Anolis sagrei: one gene and its partner. The protein of the gene in region 2 purifies or fractionates together with the protein of the main gene of each other region. This does not show direct contact. Links are inferred from orthologs where the notes say so. Each region holds a gene or a part of one and is shown on either strand. Other genes may lie near its edges.

Region 1 (7,590 bases), on a different chromosome or scaffold from region 2:
TAACTGTTTTGATGGTTTTTAATTGTGAATTGCTTTAGTGCTGTATGCATTTAATTCTATTTTAATGCTTGCATTTTTTGTATATTTTAAATTATATACTAATACTTTCATGTCAAGCTGCTTCGAGTCCCTTTTGGGGAGATAAATCGAGGTATAATATGTTAATAATAGAAGTTTTTTAATTTATATTTATTTGTTTGTTTTTGCACTACAAACAGAATATGTGCAGTGTGCATCGGAAGTCATTTGTGTTTTTTTCAAACTAAAGTTTTGTGGGATAGTGAACCAACCTTTCAGCTTTAAAAAAGTCAAGGATCCCTTTCCCTGGGATACAGGTGAGGCTCCCAGAACTCTTTGGCAGAAAAGAGTGCTAGTGAACTGCTATGGCTCCATGATTCTGTAGCACTAAGCCATGGCACTTCAAGTGGTGCCAAAGTGCACTAAGCGTAGGCTAAAAAAAAAAACCTTTGAAAACTACAACTTCCAGGGTTCCATAGTATGGAGCCGTGACAATTCAAGTGGGCTCAAAGTGCATTAAGGGTTGATGGCACAGAACAGTGGTTCTCAATCTCTGGGTCCCCAGATGTTTTGGCCTACAATTCCCAGAAATCCCAGCCAGTTTACCAGCTGTTGGGATTTCTGGGAGTTGAAGGTCAAAACATCTGGGGATCCACAGATTGAGAAACACTGGCACAGAGAGCTAAATTCTACAAAACTTCCAGTGTTCCACAGCATGCAGCTACGTCGGTTCAAACTGCATTCAAAGTAGTGAAATGGAATCCTGGAAGTTATACCTTTAGAAGGAATAGGCAAAGAGGCCTACAGAAGCTTGGGAGTACTTCAGGATCTGTCTCTCCAAATGTCAGCCAAGGTAGATGCAAATGGTCATGAGTGCATACTATCAGCTTCAACCGATCTGCCAGCTATGCCCTTCCTAGATTTGGAGGTCCTACAGATAGAGTCGGAGACGACTGAACGAATGAACAACAACAACAACAGATGGTAGTGCATGTACTGGGAACCTCAAGGTTGGACTTCTGCAATGTGCTACCCCTATACCAAGTTCGGAAACTCCAACTGGTTCAAAATACAGCAGCCAGACTGGTTACGGGAACATCTAGGAATGTGCATATTACCCTGTATACGCCCCACACACTTCGGACTTCTGCAGGGCGCCTGGTCCAACCAGCCAGAACCAGTAACCGTCACCCAGAGGACCTTTCCATTGCCCACCCCAAGGCTGTGGAGTGACCTGCAGGTAGAGCTCTGACAGTTAAATCAGCTGTCGGAATTTAAAACACAAGTGAAGACCTGTCTCTTCCTGCAGGCCCACCCAGAAAGTCTTTAAATACAAAGATGCATTTTGATCTCTGTTTTGTCTGTTTTAATATGAATATTTAAATGTGTATTTAGGAAGAACTTCCTGACTGTGAGCACTGTTCAGCAGTGGAACTCTCTGCCCCGGAGTGTGGTTGAGGCTCTTTCTTTGGAAGCTTTTAAACAGAGGCTGGGTGGCCATCTGTCGGGAGTGCTTTGAATGCAATTTTCCTGCTTCTATTTCCTAGAGATACATTTTGGTACATAACTTTTATGGAGGTATGCTTTAGTGCGCGTGTATTTGTAGAGTTTTTCTGGTGTTTGTGTATTTTAATGGTTTGGTAGTCCACCTCGAGCCATGAGGAGAGGTGGGTAAGAAATACAATTATTATTATTATTATTACTAGCCGTTCCCTGCCATGCGTTCCTGTGGCGCAGTCTGGTGATCTGGAAAATAAAGTAATGGTTTCTAATCTATGCAATTTCTTTCTGCTTGTGGGTAAACAGTATTTCTTGTGGTTTCTTTGTCAGTGGGGATGTGGAGAGTGTCTGGTTTGCCTACTCTGGAACATGCAACATATCGTTGAAATTGCTGTTGTTAACTGCTTTGAGTCACCTAAGGGCTGAGAGAAGCTGTATATAAATGAACTAAGTAAGTAAATAAATAAAATCGTTGTCCTTCTTTAAGGGTCCCTTTCAAATCTATGATATTATATCTCTCTGTGTGTGAATCATATAGATCTATCTTTCTATGGCTGGATGGCTGTCAGGAGGGCTTTGATTAGATTTTCTTGCCCTGGTGAAGAGAGTTGGACTGGATGGCCCTAAGTATTTTGGTTGGTCATGGGGATTCTGCGTGGGAAGTTTGCCCCAATTCTGTCATTTGTGGGGTTCTGAATGCTCTTTGACTGTAGGTGAACTATAAATCCCAGTAACTACAACTCCCAAATGTTGAGGTCTATTTCCCCCAAAATCCATCTGTGTTCATTAGTTGGGCATATGGAATATTTGTGCCAAGTTTGGTCCAGATCCATCATTGTTTGAGTCCACAGTGCTCTCTGGATGTAGGTGAACTACAACTTCCAAACTCAAGGTCAATGCCCACCAAACCCTTCTAGTGTTTTCTGTTGGGTCATGGGAGTCCTGTGTGTCACCTTTGGTGGAGTTCAGAATGCTCTTTGATTGTTGTTGAACTATAAATCCCAAGAACTACAACTCCCAAATGACAAAATCAAAAAGTTTTGAGTGAAGGACATACGTTGGGTTGTTAGGTGTATGCTGTCCAAATGTGGTGTCAATTCGGCCACTGGTTTTTGAGTTCTGTTAATGCCACAAAACGAACATTATATTTTTGTTTATATATAGATGATGATGATGATGATTATGATTCCTGGCGCCACTTCCCCTTGACGCCTCAGGAGGCCTTTCCTGCTCCTCCTCCCACCTGCTTGGCCTTCTCGAAGGAGGAGAGGCCTGGGCCTCCTCCTGAGCGCCTCCCTGCGCCTGAGGCCTAGCTTGCTCCTTCAGCCTCCGCCTGCGGCCTTCCCTCCCTCCCTCTCCTTCTCCCAAGGAAGGCCCCCCTCACCCTTGAGGACGTTGCTGTAGATGGTGGCGCGGAAGTCCTCGCGCGCGGAGCGGTCCCAGTCCTCTCCGTGGATGATGCGCATCTGCTTGAGGAAGGTGCTCTTGCCGCTCTCGCCGGCGCCCAGCAGCAGGATCTTGACCAGCCTCTTGACGTAGGTCTTCTCGCGGTAGAGGCACTTGTCGATCTCTTTGGACTTGCGCTGCTGCTCGGCCTCGCTGCTGTTCAGCAGGCAGCTCGGGAAGCACACCGACAGCGAGGACCGCGATGGCAGGAAATCCGCCATCTTAGCGAGCACTGCCAACCAGGGAGCGGCCGCCGCGGCCCGGGCCGCTCTGCGCCTGCGCACCGCGCTCTCTCGCGCTCGCTCTCTCCCCCTCCACACACACACACCCTCCTCCTCCTCCTCCCTCGCCCTCCTTCCTTCCTCCGCTCGGCGTCACGTGACGGCTGCCCAATTAAGAGCTGCGCTTGGCGGCGCGCGGAGCACGTTGATCCTTGGACTCGCGTCGTCGTGGCCCCGCCCGCCCTATTCCACTTCCCCGCGCTCGCCCAGCCCCAACTCAGCGGAGTCTTTATTGGCGCATGCGCAAAGTGGTTTGGTCTTTTTACGAGGAGCGTTCCCGCTCTTCTTTATAGGCAGGGCTCCTTTGCATTTGGGAAGTGGCTTCTGAGGGCCCTTCCACACCACTGAATAAAATCCCACATTATCTGCTTTGAACTGGAATATATGGCAGTATGGACTCAGCTAACCTAGTTCAGAGCAGATATTGTGGGATTGTTTGCCTTAAATATTTAGGATATATGGCTTTGGGCCCTTCCACACAGCCCTATATCCCAGAATATTAAGGCAGAAAATACCACATCCGCTTTGAAATGGAATATATGACAGTATGGACTCAGATAACCTAGTTCAAAGCAGATATTGTGGAGGCTCCTTCTTTGGAAGCTTTTAAACAGAGGCTGGATGGCCATCTGTCAGGGGTGATTTGAATGCAATATTCCTGCTTCTTGACAGGGGCTTGGACTGGATGGCCCATGAGGTCTCTTCCAACTCTGGTTCTATGATTTTTTGCCCTAAAATTATAGGTTATATGGCTTTGGGCCCTTCCACACAGCCCTATATCCCAGAATATCAAGGCAGAAAATCCCACATTATCTGCTTTGAACTGGAATATGTGGCAGTATGGCAATATCAAGGCAGAAAATCCCACAATATGAACTGGGTTGAGTAAGAAAATGTGGGATTTCCTGCCTTGATATTCTGGGATTTAGGACTGTGGAAGGGCTCTAAGGGTACCCAGTGGGTTTCAATGGCCAAGCAGAGATTTGAACCCTAGTCTCAGAGTCATCTGCTTTGAGCTGGAATATATGTCACTGGACACATAACCCAGTTCAAAGCAGATAATGTGGGATTTCCTGCCTTGATATTCTGGGAAGACAAGCGGACAAATGTCAGTGTGCTGGAAGAAGCAAAGACCACCAGCATTGAAGCAATGGTCCTCCGCCATCAACTTCGCTGGACTGGCCACGTTGTCTGGATGTTCGACCACCGTCTCCCAAAGCAGTTGCTCTACTCCGAACTCAAGAATGGAAAACAGAAAAGAGATAGGCACTGGGAATCTCTGGCCCTTGATCACTCCAGTTGGAGGTCAGCTGTGACCAACAGTGGTGTAGAATTTGAAAAGGCACAAATGGAGGGCAAAAGAGAGAAACATGCCAAGAGGAAGGCGTGTCAAGCCAACCCTGACCGGGACCGCCTTCCACCTGAAAACCGATGTCCTCACTGCGGGAGAAGATGTAGGTCAAGAATAGGGCTCCACAGCCACCTCCGGACCCACCGCCAAGACACTGATCTTGGAAGACAATCCTACTCGGAAACGAGGGATTGCCTAAGAGAGATTCTGGGATATAGGGCTATGTGGAAGGACCCCAGACAGGCTGTATATCTGAGGATCTGGTCTCAGGTTTTCTGTTTATCCCAGATTATCTGGCAATACAGATTCATATAATCCAGTTTAAAGCAGAAAACCTGAGGTCAGATCCTAGGATTAAGGGCTCTTCCGCACAGCCATATAACCAAGGATATCAAGGCAGAAAATCCTATAATATCTGCTTTGAACCCCCATTGACAATGGACCTGGAGCACATTTTGCACATATAACCCCCATGACCAACAATACATTTAGATTTATAGCTGTAGGTTCTGGGATTTATAGATCACATGCAATCAAAGAGCACTCTGGACTCGACCAACAATGGACCTGGAACTAACTTGGCAAACAAAAACCCCATGACCAAGAAAAAAACACTGGAAGAGTTGTAGTTCACCTGCATCCAGAGTGCACTGTGAATCCAAACTTGACATGCATACCTGATATTCCCAAATTTGAATACTGGTGAGTTTGGAGGGGAATTGGCCTGGATATTTTGTGGTTGTAGATACTGGGATGTATAGTTTACCTGCAATCAAAGAGCACTCTGGACCCCACCAACAATGACTCTGGACCTCACTTGGCACACAGAACCCCCATGATCTGCACAAAATGCAGCAGGACTTGGGGGGGGGGAGTGGGAATTCACCTTGATTTATAGGAATTATAGTTCACCTACATCCAGACTGCACTGTAAATGCAAACAATGGGCCTTATGAACCCACAACTCCCAGGATTCTATAGCATTGAGCCATGGCAGTTATAGTTGTTTCAAACTGCATTAATTCTACAGTGTAGATGCACCCTTAGGGAACATAGCTGGGGGGGGGGGCTATTAATATTGTCCCACCCACCTACTATTAGATTGCGCTGTGGCGTAACTAGCTGATAGCTAGCTGCATTAAATCACTACTGACGGAGAGGTCATGAGTTCGAAGCCAGCCCAGCTCAGAGTGAGCTTCCAGCCATTACTCTAGCTTGCTGTCGACCTTTGCAGTCCGAAAGACAGTTGTATCTGTCAAGTAGGAAATTTAGGTACCGCTTTATGCGGGGAGGCTATTTTAACTAATTTACGATGCCATAAAACCTTCCAGAGATGTGCAGAACGAGGAAGTACTCCATCAAAGGACTCGGTGTCACAAATGGATGGTGAAGCTGCAGTTCCCTCTGTGGCTGGAATCAAGCTGGAATCGAGCATACCCCCATGGAGCCGGAAAGCTGGAATGTTAAATTGCCTCTGTGTCTGTCTATACATGTTGTGTGTCTAATTGGCATTGAATGTTTGCCATCTATATGTGCATTGTAATCTGCTCTGAGTCCACTGTGGGGTGAAAAGGGTGGAAAATAAATACTGTAAATAATAAATAAATAATAAAAGTTTCCTGCCACCTGAGGCAGCTGCCTCAGTCCAATTTAGTGCCAGCTCTAGGTCATTTTCAGCAAATGGCATCTAATGGGAATTCCCTTTCCACCAGAGCAATGCTCAGGTCTGAGCATCTGTCAGTAAGTCTACAGACAATAGTTGGTGATGATTATTCTACCTTGGTCAGACCACACCTGGAATATTGTGTCCAATTCTGGGCGCCACAATCGAAGAGAGATATTGACAACTTGGAATGTGTCCAGAGGAGGGCGACGAAAATGATCAAGGGTCTGGAGAACAAGCCCTATGAAGAGCGGCTTAAAGAGCTGGGCATGTTTAGCGTGAAGAAGAGAAGGCTGAGAGGAGACATGATAGCCATGTATAAATATGCGAGAGGAAGTCATCGGGAAGAGGGCGCGAACTTGTTTTCTGCTGCCCTGGAGACTCGGACGCGGAAAAATAGCTTCAAAGGAGATTCAGGAGATTCCACCTGAACATTAGGAAGAACTTCCTGACTGTGAGAGCTGTTTAGCAGTGGAACTCTCTGCCCGGGATTGTGGAGGCTCCTTCTTTGGAAGCTTTTAAACAGAGACTGGATGGCCATCTGTCGGGGGTGCTTTGAATGCAATTTTCCTGCTTCTTGGCAGGGGGTTGGCCTGGATGGCCCAGGAGGTCTCTTCCAACTCTATCTTCTATATAAATAAAAATGTAATGTTCGTTTGTGGGATTAACAGAACTCAAAAACCACTGGACGAATTGACACCAAATTTGGACACAAGACACCTAACAACCCAATGTTGTTATGTATGTCCTTCACTAAAAAAAATTGATTTTGTCATTTGGGAGTTGTAGTTGCTGGGATTTATAGTTCACCTGCAATCAAAGAGCATTCTGAACCCCACCAACAATGGAATTGAACCAAATTTGGCACACAGTTCTCCCATGACGAAAAGAAAATACTGGAAGGGTTTGGTGGGCAGTGTCCTTTGGTTTTGGAGTTGTAGTTCACCTACATGCAGAGATCACTGTGGACTCAAACAATGATGGATCTGGACCAAACTTGGCACAAATATTCCATATGCCCAAATGTGAACACTGGTGGAGTTTGGGGAAAATAGAATCTTGACATTTGGGAGTTGTAGTTGCTGGGATTTATAGTTCACCTACAATCACAGAGCATTCTGAACCCACCAACGATAGAATTGGGCCAAACCTGCCACACAGAATCCCATGCGGGCCATAGCAACGTGTGGCAGGGGACGGCTAGTGATTCTATAAAGAACTAACTGTCCTCTGCCACGCGTTGCTGTGGCCTAGTCTGTTGATATGGAAAATAAAGTAATGAGAAAGTGTTGGTTTCTAATATATATAATGTCTTGATGCTTGTGGGTAAA
Region 2 (7,868 bases):
ATCAGGGAAAGCTACTCAGCAGAGCGGTTTCTAATGCTTTGCTCACCAAAGATTGATTTGCCCTCCCTTTTAAGGATTTATATTACTATCTACCCTTAACAGGCTAGAGGGAAATAGATACTACTGTTTCTATATGGGATTGTCAAGAAAAGATGCTGAGGGTGGGGTTGTCAACAGGAAAACAGCCCCTTCCTATAGAGAATCAAGTATCTATCTAGAAAAAACATACAAAAATAGCAGCCCCCCCCCCCTTCTTTTGTCCCCACCGAGAAAAGGGAAAGTAGTGGAAATATCTAAGCGAAATCTCTGAGTTAGACTGAATTCTCTCCTCTTGTCCTGGATGAAAATTGGGGCAAAGAAAAGGGGAAAAAATAGGGCTGTGGCCTTCTCAAGCCTCCACCTGCCTTGATATCCCGTCTCTCTCTTTCATCTCCAGGCCGAGTCGTAGAAGCAAAGGCAACAAAATAAAGGCCCAGAATTGGATTCCAAGGTGGACTGCGATGGCACAGCCTCCTTCCTCTGGTCCTGTTTTTGGGGTGCGTAAAGAAATCACAGCCACGCTTTCTATGGAGTGTGTGTGTGTCTTCCTCTACATCCCGTCTTTCTTTCTTTCTTCTCTAAGCCCGGAGTTGACACACAAGAATGTGGAATCTGTTGGCCTGCCTCCGGCCTTCTTTAGATCTCCCCTCCTTCCTTCCTTCCTCTCTTGTCCTGGAGAAAAGGCAAAAAGAAAAACGAAGTCACAGCCGTGTTGGGCCCTGTGTGTATATATGTATATGTTTGAGTGTGTATGCTTATGCTTGTATCAGTATGTACATATATGTACCTGGATGTATGTCTTTGTGTCAATGTTTGCACCTGGCTGTGTTTATGTATTTTTTTAATATTTATGTCTATATGTGTGTATGTGAAGGTATGTATTTATGTATCTGCTTTATGTTTGTATCTGTATGTGTCTGTGTTTAAGAAAGTGTTTTATGTTTGCATCTGTATGTGTGTGTCTCTGCATGTAGGTATGTGTTTATGTATGTGTTTTATGTTTGTTATCTGTATGTATGGGTCTGCATGTAGGTATGTGTTTATGTGTGTGTTTTATGTCTGTATCTGTATGTGTGTGTATCTGCGTGAAGGTATGTGTTTGAGTATGTTTAATGCTTGTAGCTGTATGTATGTGTATCTGCGTGAAGATATGTGTTTATGTATGTGTTTAATGTTTGTATCTGTATGTGCGTGTACCTGAGTGTAGGTATGTGTTTATGTATTTATGTTTGTATCTGTATGTAAGTATGTGTTTGTGGGGTGGTATGTGTTTATGTTTATATATGTGTTTTATGTTTGTATTTGTGTCTGTGTATAGGTTTATGTTTATGTATGTGTTTTATATTTGTATCTGCACGTGTGTGTATCTGTGTGAAGGTATATGTTTATGTATTTAATGTTTGTATCTGTTTGTATTTTTGTCTGTGTGCAGGTATGTGCTTTATGTTTGCATCTGTATGTGTGTGTATCTGCGTGAAAGTATGTGTTTATGTATGTGAAGGTATGTGCTTGAGTATGTTTAATGTTTGTAGCTGTATGTATGTGTATCTGCGTGAAGATATGTGTTTATGTATGTGTTTAATGTTTGTATCTGTATGTGCGTGTACCTGAGTGAAGGTGTGTGTTTATGATTGTATCTGTATGCGTGTGTAACTGCATGTAGGTATGTGTTTATGTATTTAGGTTTGTATTTGTATGTATGTGTTTGCGGGGTGGTATGTGTTTATGTTTATATATGTGTTTTATGTTTGTATTTGTGTCTGTGTATAGGTTTATGTTTATATGTTTAACGTTTGTATCTGTTTGTATTTTTGTCTGTGTGTAGGTATGTGCTTTATGTTTGCATCTGTATGTGTGTGTATCTGTGTGAAGGTATGTGTTTATGTACGTGAAGGTATGTGCTTGAGTATGTTTAATGTTTGTAGCTGTATGTATGTGTATCTGTGTGTGTTCATGTATGTGTTTAATGTTTGTATCGGTTTGTATTTTGTCTGTGTGTAGGTATGTGCTTTATGTTTGTATCTGTATGTGTGTGTATCTGCGTGTAGGTATGTGTTTGTGTATTTATGTTTGTATCTGTATGTATGTGTGGGGTGGTATGTGTTTATGTTTATGTATGTGTTTTATGTTTGTATTTGTGTGTGTGAATAGGTTTATGTATGTGTTTCACGTGTGTCTAGGTTTGTGTATGTGTTTTGTGTTTGTATCTGTGTGTGTGTCTTTTCCAGCCTTCTTGATCCCTCTCCTTCTTCTTCCTCCTTCTCCTCTGGCCCTGAGGGAAAAAGGGCTGCAAAGAAGAGTCAAAGCAGCACTTGATGGATGGATGGATGTGTTTGCATCTGCAGGTATGTTTCTGTGTGTGTATACCTGTCTGCGGGTCTGTGCCTCTCTCCTCGAGCCTTCCTTGTGCTTCCTTTCCTTCTCCTCTGCTCCTGACGAAAAAGGGGTGCAGAAAGGAGCCACCCTCGAGGGCAGTGTGGATGGGTAGTTGTGTGGCTCCCCTTTGAGGTCGGGTTCCTCCTTTTTTTCCCCCTTGGAGTCTCTCTTCCAGGCCTCCAAGTGCCTCCTGAGGGGGGTCCCGAGCCTGGGGGTGGCTGTCCTCCTCCTGCTTCTCGGCCGAAGTCCCCTCAGGCCCGTCGGCCCTTCTCCCTCGACGTCGGGCCTGAGGAGGAGACTTAGTTTCGCCCCCTCCTCCTCCTCCTCCTCCTCCTTCTCCTTCCCGCCGGAGGAATGTGGCGAGGCCTGGCCTGGCCTTCCTCCTCCTTCTCTTCCTCGGCCTGGTCTCCTCCGCAGGCCCCGCTCCGGCCTCCTCTCCGGATCCTGAAGAGCTTCTCCTCAGGCCAGCGCTGCTCCCCCCTCCGCCCCGCCGGCTTCCCTCAGGCAGGCCCCGGCTCGGCTCCGCTCGGCTACTTTCGGGTGTTTCCGGACGTTCCCTCCCCTTTCCCAGCCTCTTCTTCACTTCAGGGATTCGCCCCACTCGCTTTCGGCTCCTGTCGGGTATCTTCGGGACTTTCCGGCCATTCCCGAGTCAATTTGTGTCCCCCCCCCTTTATTTCAGTCATTATCTCCACTCGGCTATTTTCGGTCTTTTCCGGCCATTCCCGAGTCAATTAGTTTTTTTCTCCCCTTTATTTCAGTCATTATCTCCACTCGGCTATTTTCGGGCTTTTCCGGCCATTCCCGGATTTCTTCATCTCCCGCTCTTCCCCTTTTTTCCTCCACTCGTTCTCGGCTACCTTCGGGCTTTTCCGAAGATTCCCGAACTCATTTCCTCCTTTCGACTCTTCCCTCAGTTTCTATTCCTTCTGGAATTGCTTCGACTCTATTCGGCAACTTTCGGGGATTTCCGACTATTCCCGAACGTCCCCCCTGCCTTTACTCTGCAACTTTCGGGTATTTCCGAACATTCCCGAGTCAATTAGTATTTTTTTCCCCTTTATTTCAGTCATTATCTGCACTCGGCTATTTTCGGGCTTTTCCGGCCATTCCCGGATTTCTTCAGCTCCCGCTCTTCCCCTTTCTTCCTCCACTTCTTAGCTTCACTCGTTTCGGTTTTTTCCGGCAATTCCCGAACTCATTTCCCTCTTTCGACTCTTCCCTCAGTTTCTATTCCTTCTGGAATTGCTTCGACTCTGTTCGGCTACTTTCGGCGGTTTCCGACTATTCCCGAACGTACCCCCCTTTCTTTTATTCCTCTTCGCTCGATTCAGTATTCGGCAACCTTCGGGTATTTCCGGAAATTCCCGAACGTAACCCCTCCTCCTCCTCCCATCCCGATCCTTTATGCCTCTCCGCTCAACTCAGTTTTCGGCTGCTTTCGGGCTTTTCCGGTAATTCCCGGACTTCATTCCTTCTCCCCCTTCGGCTTCTTTACACAGCGGTTCGTTCTCACTCGTTCTCGGCTACCTTCGGACTTTTCCGGAGATTCCCGGACTTATTTCCCACTTTCCTCCGTTTCTAATCCTTCAGGAATTCCCTCGACTCTGTTCGGCTACTTTCGTACTTTTCCGAATATTCCCGAACCCCCCCACTTTCCCTTTATGCCTCTTCGCTCGACTCAATACTCGGCAACCTTCGGGATTTTCCGGCAATTCCCGAACTCATTTCTCCCTTTCGCCTCTTTCCTCCGCTTCCATTCCTTCAAGAATTTGCTCGACTCACTTCGGCTACTTTCGGATTTTTCCGACTTTTCCCGAACGTTACCCCCCCCCACACACACACATTTCTTTCCCCTTCTACTTTATGCCTCTTAGTTCGGCCACACTCGGCTATCTCCGGCTTTTTCCGGATTCATTTTTCGCTCCCTCATGTTCCCCTTCTACTTCTGTAAGTCGGAGTTCTCTCGACTCAGCTCGGCTATCTTCGGAGTTTTCCGGTAATTCCGACTCTTAATCGCCCCGCCTCGTTCCTTTCCGCCTGCTTCCTCTGCTCCCTTACTTCAGGCTTTCACTCGGAAGGCTTCGGGCTTTTCCGGAGATGCCGGGACTCGTTTTTCTCCTCTCCCCCTCCCTTTTTTCCCCTTCGGGAGGATCCCTCCGCGTCGGCACGCGTCACGCCCTTCCCTTGCTCCGCCTCGACTCTTCCTGTCACAGCACATGCGTTGCCGCTTCCGCCATAGGCCGATAAAGGAGGGCGGGGGGGGGGGAAAGTTCCTTTAAGGAGCAATATGAAATGGGAAATCGAATTGCATTGTGTTTTTGGAGAAGAGTTAGGGAGATGCCACACATAGTCTGAAATAGAGGCCTCTCCAAGGTGCTGGACTTATTTTGGAGGCTGAATCCTTGTCTACATTGGAGTAAGTCCCACTTAGGAGAGAATTGCAACCCAAGCGCCATATGCAAAGTGCTGCCACCTTCAGGAAGCTCCTGGTATTGCAATATTTGGTGCCAAAGAAAGACATTGGAGACAGTATGTTCCAACAGGCAAGAGTTCTTTCTCCCACCTTGGACATTGTTCCACAGATACATAAAGTCAATTTTCCTATTTTCCAACAGACCTCACAACCTCGGAGGATGCCTGCCATAGATGTGGGTGAAACGTCAGGAGAGAATGCTTCCGGAACATGGACATACAGCCCAGAAAACACACAGCAACCCAATCTGTGCCCTGCCATTGTTTTTCCTATTTCTGTCTGTGGTTGCGAAATCAACTCATTTGAAATGTCGCAGGACAAATATAGTTAACCCTCCTTGTTTTTTACTTTAGGAGATTTGACTATTCACAGATGTTATGACATGTTTGAATAGTGTGCGTATTCTGTTTATTTTCCCCCTTAAGATCAATAGAAGAATTGGAAAACTTTTAAAATATGTATGCCAAGATGTTAAAGTGGCAACGATTTTAAACCCAGAGACGTATTATTATTATTATTATTATTATTATTATTATTATTATTTGAAACACAACAGGATGAGTCCACAGCAAACAAGATTACTATACTGGCTGTTGTATTGGATCACACATCCAACATGTCCCAAGTGTCTAGGACTATGTGATGTATCAGTGAACAATGCATGCAGATCCCAGTAGCTGGCAGATGGTAATCGTGTCAGCACCGATTGTGCTTAAGTGCAGGCCAAGGTCTTTAGGCACTGCACCCAGTGTGCCGATCACCACTGGAACCACCTTTACTGGCTTGTGCCAGAGTCTTTGCAGTTTGATCTTTAAATCCTCATATCGTGTCAACATTATTATTATTATCATCATCATTATTATTTTGCAAAATTTGTTCTCTTGGAAATCACTTCCAGACATTTTGCAAAACAGGACAAAAGTCAATCTATCGACTTCAGGGAGAAGAACGAGCATAAAGTGCAACATCCCAGACTAAACACCCCATAAATTGATCGGCAGCCACTTAAGATGAACGGACTGCAAACATTGTATTGAGTTTCACTTCCCCTCTCTGAGGGAAAAACACCTGAATAAACTAAAGCAACAACAGTTTGGAAGCTCATTTATTTCATCTTGCCAGAAAATCTATGGTCAGAGCTCAGCTCTAATGCAATAATCTATCATTGTTAAGGCACAGTTGCCATGAAGGGGTTTCTCCTTGTTTCGCAGCAGTGAGCAGAATGGCAGAAATTCTGCATAACAGACATAAATGTGTGCCTAGTTTCTAATACAAAGAACACCCAGTGACACTCAGGAGGCTTATGGTTGATGAATGGGAGAATAACTTCTTTGCGCTGCATGTAAACCTGTGGAACTCATTGCTACAAGTCTTTGTTACAAAATATAGACAAATTTGTAAAGGGTATCAGCCAGAGCTTGGAAAACTAGGTCTTTGGATGATCATTCAGCAATGTTCCCTGGAAAATTCTGAAAGTTATAATCCAAATGAGAGCCCCCAGTGACATAGCAGGTTAAACCGCTGAGCTGCTGAACTTGCTGACCAAAAGGTCATCAATTCAAATCCAGGGAGCAGGGTGAGTTCCCACTGTTAGCCCCAGCTTCTGCCAACTTAGCAGTTCAAAAACATGCAAATGTGAATAGATCAATAGGTACCGCTTCAGCAGGAAGGTAACAACACTCCATGCAGTCATGCTGGCCACATGACCTAGGTGGTGACTACGGACAATGCCAGCTCTTTGGCTAAGAAATAGAGATGAGCACCAACCCCAGGCTTGGACTCGACTAGACTTAATGTCACGAGGAAACCTTTACCTTTTCTATAATTCAAATAAGTAATTACTCCTTGAGTGCATCTACATTGGGAAATGAATGTAACGATGCTCCATGCAGTCATGCTGGCCGCATGACCCAGGAGGCGTCTATGGACAACGCTGGCTCTTCGGCTTAGAAGTGAAGAAGAGCACCAGCCCCTAGAGTCGGACATGACTAGACTTAATGTCAGGGGAAAACCTTTACCTTTACTTTAATTCAAATAAGTAATTACTCTTAGAGTGCATCTACATTGGGAAATGAATGCATTTTGATCCCAGTTTAACTGCCCTGGCTCAATGCTATGGCATCCTGGGAGTTGTCATTGGATGAAGTACCATCACTCTGGGAGAGAAGGCTAAAAGCCCTGGAATACTCCAGCTCCTGGGATTCCATAGCACTGAGCAATGGCAGTTAAACTGTGGTCAAACTATAATAATTCTGCAGAGAAGAAAACTATTAGAGGTTCAGGAATGTGTTTATTTACATTATGACCATAGACCATTCATAAATAATTGTGCTGTCACGCACTGGGCCTGTGAAAGAGTCTGTAGACAGGACGTATTCTGTATGCCCAACGGGACGCCGGGGGTGCCTCAGATTAGAGGCCTTTTGGATTTCCCTAAACAAAGTCTTGGAAACTTAGAAACTTGGAAAGTTTAACAAAGTTCTTTATTAGTGCTTAGGTCTTCAATAAGTCAAACAAATACTTCAAGGCTTTGAATCAACTGGTGACTTTCTTAATCTTGTTCACAAGGGACAGGCAACTATCTTCATGAACTGTTTCTTCACTATCAGGGAAATCCTTGACCTCTACCTGGGCAATCTGTGTTAAGCTCTGTTGGCGTGGGCCCCTACACCCGGTCCAGATTGCGTTATGGCTGCCGTGAGTGGTCCTTACCAAACAGAGTCCTTTTGTAGATTTCCAAGAGGAAAGAAGGTCTTCAATTCCCAGTGAAGGCTGGCTGTAAAGCTGTGGAACTGGATCCCCCCAACAAAGGCTATGCTTCTCTGTAGAGCTGTGGGACTGAATTCCCCCCAGCAAAAGCCGTAGAGCTGTGGGACTGAATTCCCCCCAGCAAAAGCCGTAGAGCTGTGGGACTGGATCCCCCCAGCAAAAACTGTAAAAAAACTAAGCTTTCTACAGATGGAACTGATTCACATCC

Evidence for each region.
Region 1: the proteins of ARHGEF12 (region 2) and GNA13 purify together in Homo sapiens (affinity purification with western blotting; 3 studies listed by BioGRID). This does not show direct contact. The link is inferred for Anolis sagrei from reciprocal best matches to the Homo sapiens genes ARHGEF12 and GNA13.

The regions. Positions count from the first base shown.
Region 1 is NC_090022.1:182,315,926-182,323,515, reverse strand, and holds the start of GNA13 (guanine nucleotide-binding protein subunit alpha-13), read right to left. Parts: upstream 3,265-7,590; 5' UTR 3,186-3,264; coding exon 2,903-3,185; intron 1-2,902. UniProt on the Homo sapiens protein: Guanine nucleotide-binding proteins (G proteins) are involved as modulators or transducers in various transmembrane signaling systems.
Region 2 is NC_090027.1:37,523,940-37,531,807, forward strand, and holds the start of ARHGEF12 (rho guanine nucleotide exchange factor 12), read right to left. Parts: upstream 3,078-7,868; 5' UTR 2,407-3,077; intron 712-2,406; 5' UTR 1-711. UniProt on the Homo sapiens protein: May play a role in the regulation of RhoA GTPase by guanine nucleotide-binding alpha-12 (GNA12) and alpha-13 (GNA13). Acts as guanine nucleotide exchange factor (GEF) for RhoA GTPase and may act as GTPase-activating protein (GAP) for GNA12 and GNA13.